Linked DNA regions of Oryctolagus cuniculus. The protein of the gene in region 3 purifies or fractionates together with the protein of the main gene of each other region. This does not show direct contact. Links are inferred from orthologs where the notes say so. Each region holds a gene or a part of one and is shown on either strand. Other genes may lie near its edges.

Region 1 (5,018 bases), on a different chromosome or scaffold from region 3:
GAAAGTAGTGGAAATGGCCCAAGTGCTTGGACTCCTACAACCATGTGGGAGATCTAGAAGCAGCTCCTGACTCCTGGGCCCAACCCAGGCCATTGTGGCCATTTGGGAAGTGAACCAGTAGATGGAAGATCTCTCTCTCTGATTCTTCCTCTCTCTATGTGTAACTCTGACTTCCAAATAAACAAATAAAATAAAAGAGAGCCCAGAACTTCATCCAGGTCTTGCATGTGGGTGCAGGGGCCCAAGCACTTGGGCCAACCTCTGCTGCTTTCTTGGGCACATCAGCAGGGAGCTGGATTGGAAGTGGAGCAGGCGGACTCCACCTGGTACCCACATGGGATGGTGGCACTACAGAGGCAGCTTAACTTGCTGCACCACAGTACTGGCCTCTAAATAAGTAAATCTTTTTTTTTTTTTTTAAGATTTTATTTATTTGAGAGGTAGAGTTACAGACAGTGAGAGGCAGAGACAGAGAGAAAGGTCTTCCTTCCATTGGTTCACTCCCTAAATGGCCGCAACGGCCGGAGCTGCGCCGATCCGAAGCCAGGAGCCAGGTGCTTCTCCTGGTCTCCCATGTGGGTGCAGGGCCCAAGCACTTGGGCCATCCTCCACTGCCTTCCTGGGCCACAGCAGAGAGCTGGCCTGGAAGAGGAGCAACTGGAACAGAATCCGGCGCCCCGACCGGGACTAGAACCCGGTGTGCCGGCGCCGCAGGCGGAGGATTAGCCTAGTGAGCCGCGGCGCCGGCCAATACCCATCCTACTATTCAGTCATTTTTTCAGAAGCAAACATGCAAGCATTCATCTGTAAGCTGCCATTCCACCTGTGAGACATGGTAGGGGTGGGTGAGGGGGCGGTGCCTACCAGTCCTGGGCTTTGGGAAGCAACTGTTACTGTCCTCAAGGAGTTCCTCCCGCCAGGAGGGCTGCCACATTCACCCAAGTTCCTCGGTGAGGTGGAGACGGCCCTGCCACGGAATGTGACGCCTGAACAAAAAGATCTGGCCCTGCTCATTCCGCTGGGCAAGAACCAGGGCCTCGAGGGCATGGGGGTTAGTGGGATGGGTGGGGGACGGAGCTTTCTCTGTTGTTCCATACGGAAGAGAAACACACGATTCTGTTGCTTTCTAGCGCTTCAGTTTCCTCTTCCAGAAATGGAAGGCTAACTGGCCTCTCCTTGCCGGGGGCCTTCCCAGGGCTGTTGCCAGAGTCAGCGGAAGCAGCTGGAGAAAAAGGCCTGGGGTGGGGGTAAAGCCGCACCTGCCACACCGGCGCTGGTTCCTGTCCGGCTGCTCCTCTTCCGAGTCAGCTCCCTGCTAGTGGCCTGGGAAAAGCACTGTCAGATGGCCTAATGTTTGGGTCCCTGCCACCCACGTGGGAGACCTGGAAGAAGCCCCTGGCTCCTGGCTTCAGCCTGACCCAGCCCTGGCCATTGCGACCACCTGGGGTTATCCAGCGGATGGCAGACTGCTCTGTTTTTCTAACTCTTTCAAATAAATAAATATAAAAGAGGCTGCGCATAGGATAGGCGCAAAGGAGGCGTGCATCCCGATACGGTGGAAGGTGCCTTGGCCGGGACCCGAGGCCCGACCCCTAAGCACTGTGGCGCCCCTAGCTCTGAAGGGCCAAGACCCGGAAGCACAAGTCCCAACCGCTCCACCCAGAAGGCAGCGGGAAGCGGCGCGCGCCTGCCAGAAACCCGGCCCGCCCCGCACTTCCGGCGCGCGACCCGGAAGCGGAAATTAGTCCGTCTCCTTCCCCTCCGTTGCGTCTCTCCTGCGTTGTTGAAGTCCTCAACCGAGAGCAGCGCGGTTTTCAGCGTGCGGTGAGGAGGAGTGGATCTCTGAGAGCCAGGAGCGGCTGCCGCCATGGCGGACGTGACCGCCCGAAGCCTGCAGTACGAGTACAAGGCGGTGCGTATGGGCTTAGGGGAGGACTCGGGGGAGGCAGTGTAGTGTATAGGGGAGGCGGCAAGCTGCGAGTGGGAGGTTCAGTCTCAAGGCCTGCAGGAAAGCCACGAAATCGGAGGCGAAATCGGATCGGGGCGAAAGTTTGGGTATGCGACGATACGGATTATCGCACCGGGGCCTGGGGCGGGCAGGACAAGGCGGAGAGCTCTGTGGGACCGGGCTGCCAAGCCTTTCAGCGTTCAACCCGCCCCTTCACCTGTCCCTCTCCACTCGCTCAGTACTTCCCGCATGAGGGTTGTTATGGTTAGAAGCCAGCATTGTTCAACTGATAGACGGCACGTAGGGCTTATCAGCCCTGTGCTCGTGCTTAGCGTTATGTGTTGCTATTTCTTTTCAAATTATATACCTTTATATTCCGGCTAGTGGTTATTAACGCTCATTGTGACTCTTGAGCTGGGATCAGGGTGCTGCAGGAACTGGCCTCGCGTATGTCAGAGCTTCAGCAGTGGTCTGATCTTTTCAGAACTCGAATCTTGTGCTCCAAGCTGACCGGTCTCTCATTGACCGAACCCGCCGAGATGAACCCACCGGAGAGGTGCTGTCCCTGGTTGGGAAGCTGGAGGGCACCCGAATGGGAGATAAGGCACAACGGACCAAACCACAGATGCAGGAGGAAAGAAGAGCCAAGTAAGTACCGATGGAGTCCTGTTTTTCTTCAGAACCGAAGTCTGTCTTTTCCTTAGCAATTAGTAGTGTTTTTGTTGAAGTGCGTGTTGCAAGATTGGACAGCAGTGGCATTAAAACAGATTGGTGAAGGTAAAAGCTGAACATGAGAGTTTGAAGATTCTACGGCCTTAGCAAATACACTTTGAGGGCTGGCGCTGTGGCGTAGTGGGTTAATTCTCCACCTGCTCTGCCAGCATCCCATTATGGGCGCTGGTTCTAGTCCCAGCTGCTCATCTTCCAGTCCAGCCCTCTGCTTTGGCCTGGGAAAGCAGTAGAAGATGGTCCAAGTCCCTGTACCCGAGTAGGAGACCCGGAAGAAGCTCCTGGCTCCTGGCTTCAGATAGGCATAGCTCCAGCCACTGGGGCCATTTGGGGAGTGGCCCAGCGAATTGGAAGACCTTTCTGTCTGTCTCTCCCTCTCTATGTCTGTAACTATACCTCTCAGTAAATAAATAAAACCTTAAAAAAATAAATAAAGTACACCCAAGTGGAAAATACTGGTACCTTTTTGTGTTTCTGGTCCATAAACATCTTAATTTTCTTGAGGGTATCTTTAAGACCTTTGGTATTTCTCATCTCAGTAGGTTTTTAATTTTTTAAGACATTTATTTTTGAAAAACAGAGTAACAAATAGAGAGAAAGGGATTTTCCATGTGCTGGTTCATTCCCTGAGTGGTTGCAATGGCTGGGGTTGGGCCAGGCTGAAACCTGGAGCCTGGAATTCCATTTGGGTCTTCATGTGGGTGGCAGGAACACAAGTACTTGGGGCCACTTTCCCTTGCTTTACCAGCACATTATCAGGGACCTGAATTGGAAGCCGAGTAACAGAGACTTGAATCACTGCTCTGATGGGAGATGCTGGCATTACAGATGGCAGCATAACTGCTAGGCCACAGCACTGGCCCCTTTGTATTTTGAATTTATTTCATCTGAGAGATAGAGACAGGCCGATTAAAGAACTCACATCTGCTCGTTTACTTCATAAATGCCCATGTTAGCTGCAGCTGGTCCAGGTTGAGGCCAGGAGACTGGAAGGCAACCTAGGTTTCCTGTGTGGTGGCAAGGACCTACACACCTGAACCGTCTCCTGCTGCCTCCCAGGATATGTGTGTATTAGTAGGAAGCTGAAGCTGGAAGTGGAGTTAGAATTGAAGCCAGATGTTCCAATATGGGCTGTGGATGTCCAAGTGGCATCTTACTGAGTGCTGTACTGCATGCCTACTCGTGTTTTTAAATTAATGATAACCCTGTCTTGTAACATTTAGTGAACTTAGTGAGAGGGTGAACACTTCCTTTCTGTTACTGTGTCCTACAAAGAAATACTTGTGCAAATGATTAAGGTGAAATGGGGCTCATTTGTTGCGGTGCAGGTGTACGGTGATACTGAGGAGGGAGGGCTTGATTCTCTTCTTGTCTTGGGGAGGCAAGGTTCTCCTGTGGAATGTCACACTGTGTGTCCCTTAGGCGAAGAAAGCGTGACGAGGACCGGCATGACATCAACAAGATGAAGGGTTATACCCTGCTGTCGGAGGGCATTGATGAGATGGTGGGCATCATCTACAAGCCCAAAACCAAGGAGACCCGGGAGACGTATGAGGTGCTGCTCAGCTTCATCCAGGCTGCGCTTGGGGACCAGGTGAGGCCGCCAGAGAGTGAGTGCCTGTGCTTGGGAAGGGAGGGGGTGACGGCTGGGGGACACCAGAAGAACCTTGTCTCTGGATTTCCCTGTGTGGCTCATACCAACTTGCGGAAGTGACTAGTATTTACGAAGTGTTTGGTTGAAGTGAAATGATACTTTACATGGTTTTTTCCTCCTTTTACATCAACTCTATGGATTGATGCTATTAAAAAAAAATTGGTTCTTTTGGTCTACTTGAAAGGGAGAGTGACAGAGAGCTATCAGTTGATTGGTCTTCCATCCACAGGTTCACTCCCCATATGCCTGCAACATCCAGAGCTGGGCCAGGCCAAAGCCAGGAGCCTGAAACTCCATCGGGGTCTCCCATGTGGGTGGAAGGGCCCAAACACTTGAGCCGTCATCTGCTGTGGGGTGCATTAGCAGGAAGCTGGAGCAGCAGCAGAGGTGCCAGGACCTTAACTGACACTCAGATATGCACAGGTGCATATCCCAAGTGTTGGCTTAACCTGCTTTGCCACAGTGCCCACCCCTAGGTGCTATGAATATTCGTTTTCCATTTCATAAAGGGAGATGCAAGGCACATAGTAGTTATGTAATTTTGCTAAGTCACAGAAGTAGTATTTGGCAGAGCTAGGCTGTGAATCCAAGTATCCCACCCCATCTGTGCTGTTAACTATTATATGTGTGAGAACAAATTAAGGCCTTTTCTGAGTCTGAGAGGTTCTAGTGGGATGGATTCTAGAG
Region 2 (4,997 bases), on a different chromosome or scaffold from region 3:
GAGCAGCTTGGCATCTCCTGGCCTGTGCTGGCCGGGGGACACAGGCCACCCCGCTCCGACATCCGACCTCATGAACAGGAGCCCCAGCCAGACCCTGCCGGCGTTCCTCCCATGGCAGCGTGCACCTGTGTCCCACCTTGGACAGCATCGGGCAGGGTGCCCAGGGACCCCGCCCCCCGCCGTGCTGCCTGACTAAAGTCTGGTGGTGGCCAGTTCTGTCCTTTGAGACGCAGACGGTCGGTCCTGAGACAGCCAGTCAGCTGCCCAGTCCCGGGGGCAGGGCGGCCGCCCCTGTGCCGGCTCCGGCAGTGTCCCCACCCCTGAACCCAAAGTGGCTCTATTTCCGGTGCTCCCTGGAGCCCACATCCCCTCCAACCCAGGTCAAACCACAGTGTCCACACGGGGGCAGGCCTTGGCTCCTGGGCTACCCACACCACCCACTGAGCTGAGTCACAACCAGGCCGAGCCCTCAAGGGTCAAGGGAGTGGGGGACAGACATGCTCGCTCCGTGGGCCTCCCCCAGCAGACCTGGGGAACCCACCCTTTGTCCCCCATGGCCCATGCTGGGCTGGAGTCCTGGCACAAGACCCCAGATGCCGGCTCTGCACCCCGTCCTGACAGTCTGGGTGGGGCACAGCCAGAGGCGAGCGTGGGCACGGCTACAGGACCACTCAGGCCTGTCCGGCACCATGCTGGACTCCTGTGGCCTGACCCCAGCCCAGGGGGACCCCTCAGCCCCTCCAGGCCGGCACTGTGCGCAGCAGGTAAAGCCGCCTCCTGTATGTGTGGTTCCAGTCCCGGCTGCTCCACTCTGACCCAACTCCCTGCCGCTGCAGCTGGGAGAGCAGCAGACGGCCCCTGTGCCACTGCGGCTCTCTGGGGAGTGGACCAGTGCACGCAAGACCTCTCTATCTTTCAAAATTAAAAGCAAACAAAAACCCAGAGAAGCGGAACACTGGGGCCGTCACTCTGCAGGGTCCGAGCGGGGCTGGGGGCCCAGGGGGAGTGAGACGACAGACAGGACCCGAGGACACCCAACACCTTTATTGTCACCCATGGAGCCCCGGGCCCCCGGCCGCGGCCCGGCCCGCTCACCCCTCAGCCGCTGGGCCCTCGCAGCCGCTGCCCCTGTTCCGGAAGTGCTCCCGGCTCCGCTTCCTGGCGCCGTGGAAGCCGACGGCGTCCAGGCCGGGGGGCCCTGGCGAGGCCCCTCTGTGGGCAGCCGCGGGGGACGCGTCTTCCTCCTGCAGGCCGCCGGGGGTGCCGCCCCTCTCCTCGGCCTCTGGGCTCCCGGGCCCGGCCAGGTGGGGCAGCTCCACCGCCTCGGTCCCCGGGAGGCCCCTGCCCGGCTGCGCGCCCTGCCCCAGGCCCCTCTTCCTCTCGGGCCTGGGCTCGCGGGCTCGGGCCGGTCTGGTGAAGACCACCCTGCCCTCCCCGCAGCTGGAGGAGTCCTGGTTGAAGGCGGGCGCGCAGGCGGCGGGGGCGGCCGGGCCCCGCGCGCCCAGGAAGGCCAGCGCCGCCGCCCGGTTGCTCTGCTCGCTGGCCTCGGCCACGTCCTCGAGGCTGTACCTGGTCCAGCGCTCCGGGTGCGCCACGTAGTCGGGGACACGCGGGCCCCTGGGGGCGCCGGCCGCCCCCTCCAGGCCGTCAAAGACGCTGTGGCTGCGCCGGGAGAAGGCGGAGCTCGTGCCCCGGAGGCAGAACGGCTGGGCCGCAGGGGCGGGGGGCGCCGGGGGCGGCGAGGGGGGCTCGGAGTCCTCTGAGTCCGCGGGCAGGTCTACACACGGCGCGGCCGCCTCGGCACCGCCAGAGCTGAGGTCCGAGTCCGAGTCCGAGCCCGAGTCGCTGGGGAAGTCGGCGTCGTCGGGGGGCGCGGCGTCCCCCTCGGCCCCCGCCTGGGCCATGGCCCCGTCCCACGGCACCTGCGGGGAAGCAGCCCGCGGGGAGGGGGCAGCTCAGGGTCGCCGGCCCACGCGGCCGCAGCAGCGGGCCCCTCCCCGGCCCGGCTCTCACCTCCCCCGTCCGCCCACGGAGGTCCTCGGTGGCCCCGGCGTGGGCTCCTCGGTGGCCTCGGCTCCGCTGCTCAGACGGGGCTGGGTGAGGGGCGGGGGACAGAGCCCGCGTCAGAGCGCGGGGCCGGCCGCAAGCTGCCTGGGACGAGGCGGAGCCCAGGGCTGGGCCCCAGGGCCCGGGCCGCGGCCACCCCGGCGGGGTCGGGCTCGCGAGCGCGCTCAAGGGTCAGCTCGAGCGGCCTTGCTGGGCAGAGGCCGCCCCCGCGGCCCCGGACACGACCCCCACCCGCGCTCCCGAGGGGCTGGCTGCAGGACAGCCCGGGCGCACCCTCCACACGGCGCTCCCCGCCTCGGGCCGACCCAGGCGCGGCGCAGCACCTCCTCCCGCGGAGCAGCCGCAGGAGGAGCGCTGGGCCCAGCAGGGACCGCGGCGAGCGCGCCCTGGGCTGGGGAGGCCGGGATCCCGCGACCGGGCCGAGGGGCAGCGGCTCTAGCTGCCTCCGGCCGCCTCTGCCGCGGAGCAGAGCACACCTTCGCCGTGTCAGGGCGGCCGCGCAGAGGGCCCTCCCGGACTTACCGGCTCCTCGTGCCGGCCGCCTTCATTCGGGTTCCCCGCCGGCCGCGCTCAGCCTTTTGGGAAACCGAGTCCCCCGCTAGCCGCGCACTGTGGCCTCCGCGACCGAAGAACTACATCTCCCATAAGCCACCGGGCCTCAGCTCCCGAGCCCTGACGGGACGTGTGCCCCAGTGCGCATGCGCCCACGCCCTTCTCCTTACACCTCCAAGCCCTGCGCCAGGAGCGGGTTCCGGAAACGGAAAAGGCCTAGCGTTGACACGGAGGAAGGGGCGGAGCCAACCGCCACTCCCAGAATGCTCGACTAACGGCGAGGCGCAGGCCTCTCGGAGTTTTAGTGCCACCTACCGGGAGGTGCGGAGACAGCAGCCGACGTAGACAGGAAGTGCGTCATCGCGCACGGTGGAGCAGAAGCCCTTGCCCGCACTTCCGGCCTTCCGAAAGCGGAAGTCGCTGCCCCTTCCCGGGTCCATCCGTCAATGCCCGGGGCGGGCCTGGCAGCCACTGAGCTTGTGGGCTGCGCTGGACGTCGGGAGCCTCTGACGATGTTTCTCCGGTTCCCCGGCCCTCAGGGACAGGCGCGCGGAGCGCTGCCCAGCGGCCCAGGCAGCCGGGGCTGGGCGTGGCCATCCTGGGCAGGTCCGGCCCCGGGCTCTCCCAGACAGGCCTCTCGCTGGCCACCAGGCCCCAAGTGGGCAGCGCCTTTTGCCCCCGTTTCTGCTGGGGCTGCTCGGTGCCCGCCAGACCCCAGCTCCTGAGTCCCTCTCCTGCGGGGGCCTGCTGTCCTGGCACTCACGGGGAGACCGGCGTCTAAGGACCCCGGGGGGGCCAGCCGCGGACAGCAGGCGGGTCATGCACGGCCCAGGCACCTCTGGGACACCCACCCTGTCCTGGCAGCCCCGGGGCCCCAGGCCCTGCACGTCCAGAGGCCAGCCTGGGCCAGCACGGCCCGGGGGGAGTGGAGGGGACTCCTCGCTGCACCTAGTTCTCCCAGGCAACCCTGTCCCCCAGGGGCTGGGAGCAGCAGGAGCCCCCGCCCTCCGCAGGGCCAGCCTCAGTCCTCCCTGGCTGCTGTCCAGGCCGAGGCGGGGCCTTTGCTCTGGCTGCTCCGAGATGCTGCTGAGGCCCGGGGGGCCACCCACGTCTCAGCAGACCTGGGGCCTGCTGCCCGCAGGGAGCCCGGAGCCCGGCCGCCCCCTCCCGCAGCCCGGTGTGCCCCAGGGGCGGTCACCCGCGGAACGCTCCCTGGGTCCTGGTCCCGTCCGCTCCGCGCGGGCTCGGCACAGTCCAGACCCCTCTGTCCCCAGCGCCCCACCCACTGAGACCCCACCGGCCAGGACCGGCGGCCAGCGCGTTAGCATGCCCGATGTCTCCTCCTTTATTACAGACTGTGTCCAGCTGCGGGCGTTACAGTTGAAGGTGACGTTAGAAAGGACAGGTGCTCCCGGAACAGGCAGGAAAGCAACAGGATTAAGAAGGCCCGGCCCCCCTCGGCAGGTGCCCCTGGCACGCGGCGTCAGCCACAGGGGCTCCGGGGGAGACGCAGAGCCCGGAGAGCCGGCAGCTGCGTGCGGAGCGAGCGGGGTGGCTCTGTACAGGCGGCGGGGGCGGCGGGGGCAGCGCGGCCTCAGTACACGGAGCTGTTCCTGATGCCGCAGCACAGCACCATGCTCAGAATCATCTCGAAGATCTGGCGGGAGGGGGGCGGTCAGCGGGGGCCGGCGGGGCGGGGCGGCCCCCCCCCCCCCGCCCGCCTGCCCGCTCACCATGATCACGGCCACCACGATGGCCGCGATGCCGATGAGGTACAGCTTCCCCGAGAACAGCTCGTCAATCTTCTGGTGGCAGTCCTCCTGCGGGGAGGGCAACCTCAGCTCCCACCTGCCCTGGCGGCACCCCGGAGGGCCCAGCTAGGCGGCCTCTGCCCACGCGGGGGAGGCGACCTCAGCTCCCACCCGAGGGCCCAGCTAGGCGGCCTCTGCCCACGCAGGGGAGGGCCCAGCTAGGTGGCCTCTGCCCACGCGGGGGAGGGCGACCTCAGCTCCCACCTGCCCTGGTGGCGCCCCCGAGGGCCCAGCTAGGGGGCCTCTGCCCACGCGGGGGAGGGCGACCTCAGCTCCCACCTGCCCTGGCGGCGCCCCCGAGGGCCCAGCTAGGCGGCCTCTGCCCACGCGGGGGAGGGTCCAGCTAGGGGGCCTCTGCCCACGTGGGGGAGGGGTGACCTCAGCTCCCACCTGAGGGCCTAGCTAGGGGGCCTCTGCCCACGCGGGGGAGAGCGACCTCAGCTCCGACCCGAGGGCTCAGCTAGGGGGCCTCTGCCCACGTGGGGGAGGGCGACCTCAGCTCCCACCCCAGGGCCCAGTTAGGCGGCCTCTGCCCACGCGGGGGAGGTGACCTCAGCTCCCACCCCA
Region 3 (5,298 bases):
CTATGCCTGATGCTCAGGGCTTTAGGATAATGTCAGTCTACTCCTAGGCTCTTCTTGGAGACTGAAAATGTCACCAGAGAAAAGAGCCGTGGAAGCCATGGGGTTCTTGTCTTCATTCAAGAAAAAATTGAGACGTGAGACAGAGTGAAGCTACAAGGTTTTACTGGGGACAGGGCATCCCTCAGAAGGGACAGAGAGCACCCAGTCACTCCGTCTGGGGGAGAGCGAGGTTACATGGTTGAATGGAGAGAATACACCTGGGCAGGCCAGGCGGGCGGCTCAGCAGAGGGCAGAGGGCTGAATGCATGGTCTGTTTGGACTCCCTAGGTTGTTAAGGGAGTCTGTTTACCCACCTCCCCCTCTCCTCCAGGACAAAGGACAGGGAGCTTGGTGGAAGGGTTTGTTGGGTGAAATTAGCAAATTCCTCCCCAGATTTGCTGGTGCCAGGCAGAGTAGAGGGGTTTCCTTTAGGGTGCCTGTGTTTTAGGGTCCCATGTTATCAGGTCAGGTAACCCATCTGGTCCTGAGAGAGAATTCTGGGACCAACTGGGAGGTTATCAGGGTCTGGGCAGGACTTTGCAGTGCAAAATGCTGGGCTTCTGGAGCTTCCACAATAGGTGCTGGTCTTCAGGCCTGTCTCTCTCTCTCTCTCTCTCTCTCTCTCTCTCTCACACACACACACACACACACATACACACACACACAGGCTAATTTCTAACTTCCTACCTAAGAAAAACATTCAAAGAGAAAACAGATATATAGCCATGGGGAACCAAGACAAGCTAATGATGGGAAAACAAAGGAAAGAGGCCTTGGTTCGGCTTTAGGGGAAGAATCATGATCCAAAAAGACCAACAAGAAACAAAGTGAGCAAAGTGAGCACAGGATTTGTGATAAAACAGCTTCAGTGGGAGGCTGACACTAGGAAGAAGAAAGAGACCCATATAGGGTTCGGTGCTGTGCTGTAGTAGGTTAAGCCTCTGCCTACGGTGCAGGCATCCCACATGGGCACTGATTCCAGTCCTGGCTGCTCCACTTCCAATCCAACTCCTGCTGATGCACCTGGGAAAGCAGCAGAGGATGGTCTCCACTTGGGAGACCTGGAAGAAGCTCCTGGCTCCTGGCTTCAGATTGGCCTAGGAGTGAAGCAGTGGATGGAGAATCGATCTCTCCTTCTCTCTGTCTGTAACTCTACCTCTCAAATAAATAAAACCTTAAAAAAACAAACCAACACAAAGGTAGCCCAAAGACTGCAGGGGTCCCTACTGGAACCTGAAGAAAAAAGATGCATGGGGCCAATGCTGTGGCGCAGTGGTAAAGCCAACGCCAGCAGTGCCGGCATCCCATATGGGCGCTGGTTCGAGTCCTGGCTGCTCCACTTCCGATCCAGCTCTCTGCTATGGCCTGGGAAAGCAGTAGAAAATGGGCTAAGTCCTTGGGCCCCTGCGCCCGCATGGGAGACCTAGCAGAAGCTCCTGGCTCCTGGCTTTGGATCGGCACAGCTCCTGCTGTTGTGGCCATTTGGAGAGTGAACCAGCAGATTCAAGACCTCTCTCTGTAGCCCTGCTCTTCAAATAAAATAAATAAATCTAAAAAAGAAAAGAAAATGAGAGAAAAGAAAAAAAAGAAAGAAAGAGAAAGAAGGTGCCACAGCCCAGATCAGAGGATGAAGTGTTAACAGTAGGGGAGATTGGTGGGGCAGGTTGCTACACTGTCCTAAGCCTGGTGGAATTCCTCACGATAAAGAATTGTACAACTCTCATCTTATAAAATGGGTAACAATCTAACGAGATTTTTGCTTTTCCACAAACGGTACTTGTGGTTGCTCGCAGTAGCCCATCATAGAGCCATGCTATAGAAATGCAAAGCCTTAAACTCATACCGTGTAAGGCACGGGCCACGACGGTCGCTACCGTAGCTTTTGGAAGGCCTGCAGATTCCAGGAAGACTGAACCGCGGGAAGATCTGCAGGAACCCGGCCCACTGCTAACTTCCCTCGCACACGCCAAGCTTGGCGAACCACATTGCCCAGCAGTCCCTGCGGCCTTCGGCAGGCGCGGGCGCCGTGCATCCTGGGATTGGTAGTTCTGAGGGCCTTACTGTCGGCTTAAGCTGCCCAGCGCCGCGAACTCGCCTTCCCAGCTTGCCGCGCGGCAAGGGGGTGCATCTCGGCGACCAGGAAACGGGAAAGATGGCGGCTGTTCGGCGACGTTGAGGCCGCGTTGGGCGGTTCCGACTCAGGGTGGTGAGTTCTAGGCAGGGGAGATGGTTCCCTCGAGGTTGTAGAGAAGGCAAGTGTCGGGGGCATGGCTGTGGCCCCTGCCTCCGGGATGAGGCGCGGAAGAACGCCTCGGGGAAGAGGCGCGAGCCGGGGGAAATCTCAGACGGGCAGGAGCGCAGGGGCGCGGGCCCCAGGGGGAGTGCTGGCTGCTGGGGCTCAGGCCACGTTCTGGACGATGTTCCGGGCTCAGACCTTTGGCCGCCGGCACGACTGATTGTTTCCTGCCTCTCGTAGCCCGGTGCCGCAGTCACACTGGAACTTGAATTTTTCTCCCAGAAGCAGCCCGTACTTTCCCGCCTCCGTGCCGTCGGTATTATTAGGCCGGGAATTAGGGAGTTGTTTCTTTCCTTACCCATCCCTAAGGGATCAAGGGCCACTTTCTCAGTGGAGCCTTGCAGAAGTGCTTCTTCGAACTCCCCTACTAGTTCATGCGAGCCTGCCGTACTAGGATGGGTTCTCAGACCCTCTATTGTCGTAAAGCTTCTTAGGGATGGGACTTCCTGTTGTAACTCGCACAGTGTCCTGCGCTGTGCCTTATATGCGGTAGATGGTTGGAAAATACTTAACAGAATGGGAGTTGGGGGGGCGGGGAGACCTGCCCCGGCCGTACAAGAACGGAGGAACTAAAAAGTTCAGGAAATTGGAGAGGAAGGCTGCTGGGAGGCATGGCCGGAGTCCACTTGAGTTTCTGGTTTGCTCTGTGCCACTGAGACAGCTCTTGTCAAGGTCACAAATAATCTCTATTTCCCCAAATGCTGTACTCACTTCTCTGCCCCCTAATCTTTTTTTTTTTTTTTTTTTTTTTTTTTTTAAGATTTATTTCATTTATTTGCGTTACAGAGAGAGGCAGAGAGAGAGTGAGGTCTTCCATCCTCTGGTTCACTCCCCAATTGGCTGCAACAGCTGGAGCTGCTCCCATCCAAAGCCAGGAGATTCTTCCAGGTCTCCCATGCAGATGCAGGGGCCCAAGGACTTGGGCCATCTTGTACTGCTTTCTCAGGCCACAGCAGAGAGCTGGATCAGAAGTGGAGTACCCAGGACTTGAACCGGCACCCATATGGGATGCCAGCACTACAGGCGGCGGCTTTACCCACTATGCCACAGCGCCAGTCTCTACAATATTTCTTACTGCTGCTGTGCCTGACCCTTAAGTGTTTAGAGTGTCCCAGAACTTACTATGGGGTTCTCTTCTTTTTCTTTCTTTAACTCTACTTCCTAACTGGGTAATATCATTTAGTGCTCTGTGGCTTCAAAAGCTATGTACCTGTGACTCATGGTTGTCCCCAGACCCTCTGTTGAGTTCCAGGTTTGCATTTCCATATGCCTTCTGAGACTCCCCTCTTGGCTGTCTTATTACAGAGGTCTCAGCTGCAACCTGGCCGAAAGGAACTTTTGGTTCCGTCCTCAATCTCTTCCTTCCCCAGTCTTTGGTTGGTTCTCTATCAGCAACTCAAACTAACAGACTGTTCAGACCACAAATTTAGGAGCTATTTTCTTTTTTAAAGAAATTTATTTTTTATTTATTTGAAAGGCAGAGTTACAGAGTGAGAAGGAGAGACAGAGAGAGAAATCTTGCACGCACTGGTTCACTCCAGAAGTGGCCACAATGGCCAGCCTGTGTCAGGCTGAAGCCAGGAGCCCAGAGCTTCCTCTGGGTCTCGCATGTGGGTGCAGGGGCCCAAGCACTTGGGCCATCCTCTACTGCTTTCCCAGGTGCATTAGCAGTGAAGCAGCCAGGACTTGAAACAGTGCCCACATGGAATGCCGACATCACAGGCTGCTTTGTCCGCTGTGCCACAATGCTGGCCCTACAGTTTGATTTTTAGTTGCAGACATCTAAGCTAACTCCTGCCTCAGTACTTTAGTACTTGCTGTCTCTTCTACCCAATGAATTATTCTCCCTGAACAGATCTGGTTCTGTCTTTCCCATCATGGAAGTCTCAGTTTAAATATAAACTAAAAATTCTTTCTTGAGCCATCCATCTCTTGTTCATGTCACCCCATTTTATTCTCCTTGTTCATAACTATTTGAAATTCACTCTACTATATTGCCTTTTTTTAAAAATTTTTTTAAAGATTTATTTACTTGAAAGGTAGAGGGACAGAGAGGGAGAGCTACAGAGACAGATCTTCCAGATGTTGGTACCCATCTACCAAATGGTCCTGAGCACTGGGGCCATCTTCTGCTCCCTTTCTAAGAGGAGCCTTATCAGGAAGCTGACTGAGAAGCAGAGCAGCTGGTACTGGAACCAGCACCCTGATATGAGATGCCTGTGTTACAAGCAGCGGCTTAACCTGCTATGCCACAACATGCCCACCTCCCCTGGTTTCTTTGGTTTTGTTTGTGTTTTGTTTTGTTTGGAAGACTTAAGGCAGAAAGAGATTTTTCATCTGCTGGTTCACTCCCCCCCAAGTAGTGACAACAGCTGTGTCTGGGCCAGGCTGAAGCTAGGAGCCAGGAACTCCACCCTGATCCCCTGCCTGGGTGGCAGGGGTCATCTGCTCTCTTCCCAGGCCCATGAGCAGGAAGCTGGATCAGAAGTGGAGCAGCCGGGACTCCCAAGTGGCATCTTAACTCCTAGCACAACTGTGGCCCCCAGAGACTTGGTTTAGTTACTGCTAATTTCTGCCACCTTATACATGCTCAGTGAATATTTACTAAAAGAATGAATGATGTTCAGGCTGCCTTGTAGGAAAGATGTCCTCTTTTCTGGACTGTTCTCTCAGGACTTGTCTTAGTCTGCTTTCTGTTACTGTAACAGCATACCTGCAACTGGGCAGTTCTAGAGTAGACGTTAATTGATTGCAGTTCTGGAAACCGGCAAGTTAAAGAGCGTGCTGTGGTACCTACATGCCACATCATAGTGTGGCAAGACAGCAGGCATACCAGAGAAAGCTTGCCTTTTTTTTTTTTTTTTCTTCCAACTCATCTATATTTGTTACAACCTTTTAAAGCAAAATGATTTGGGCACTACGTTGAGAGCTTGCTTTTATAGCAAAGCCGCTCCCATAATAAC

Evidence for each region.
Region 1: the proteins of DDX23 (region 3) and SNRNP200 purify together in Homo sapiens (affinity purification with mass spectrometry; 3 studies listed by BioGRID and IntAct, counting the BioPlex papers as one, with this or other methods). This does not show direct contact. The link is inferred for Oryctolagus cuniculus from reciprocal best matches to the Homo sapiens genes DDX23 and SNRNP200.
Region 2: the proteins of DDX23 (region 3) and TSSC4 purify together in Homo sapiens (affinity purification with mass spectrometry; 3 studies listed by BioGRID and IntAct, with this or other methods). This does not show direct contact. The link is inferred for Oryctolagus cuniculus from reciprocal best matches to the Homo sapiens genes DDX23 and TSSC4.

What each region holds. Positions count from the first base shown.
Region 1 is NC_091433.1:111,274,827-111,279,844, forward strand, and holds the start of SNRNP200 (U5 small nuclear ribonucleoprotein 200 kDa helicase), read left to right. Parts: upstream 1-1,694; 5' UTR 1,695-1,867; coding exon 1,868-1,912; intron 1,913-2,432; coding exon 2,433-2,596; intron 2,597-4,099; coding exon 4,100-4,271; intron 4,272-5,018. UniProt on the Homo sapiens protein: Catalyzes the ATP-dependent unwinding of U4/U6 RNA duplices, an essential step in the assembly of a catalytically active spliceosome. Plays a role in pre-mRNA splicing as a core component of precatalytic, catalytic and postcatalytic spliceosomal complexes.
Region 2 is NC_091432.1:1,158,493-1,163,489, forward strand, and holds TSSC4 (U5 small nuclear ribonucleoprotein TSSC4), read right to left. Parts: upstream 3,067-4,997; 5' UTR 2,981-3,066; coding exon 2,935-2,980; exon of another isoform or gene 2,094-2,934; coding exon 2,014-2,093; exon of another isoform or gene 1,923-2,013; coding exon 1,092-1,922; 3' UTR 1,025-1,091; downstream 1-1,024. Other genes in the region: TRPM5 (transient receptor potential cation channel subfamily M member 5), read left to right, coding at 1-2; CD81 antigen, read right to left, coding at 4,214-4,276, 4,353-4,439. UniProt on the Homo sapiens protein: Protein associated with the U5 snRNP, during its maturation and its post-splicing recycling and which is required for spliceosomal tri-snRNP complex assembly in the nucleus.
Region 3 is NC_091442.1:52,328,266-52,333,563, reverse strand, and holds the start of DDX23 (probable ATP-dependent RNA helicase DDX23), read left to right. Parts: upstream 1-2,095; 5' UTR 2,096-2,245; intron 2,246-5,298. UniProt on the Homo sapiens protein: Involved in pre-mRNA splicing and its phosphorylated form (by SRPK2) is required for spliceosomal B complex formation.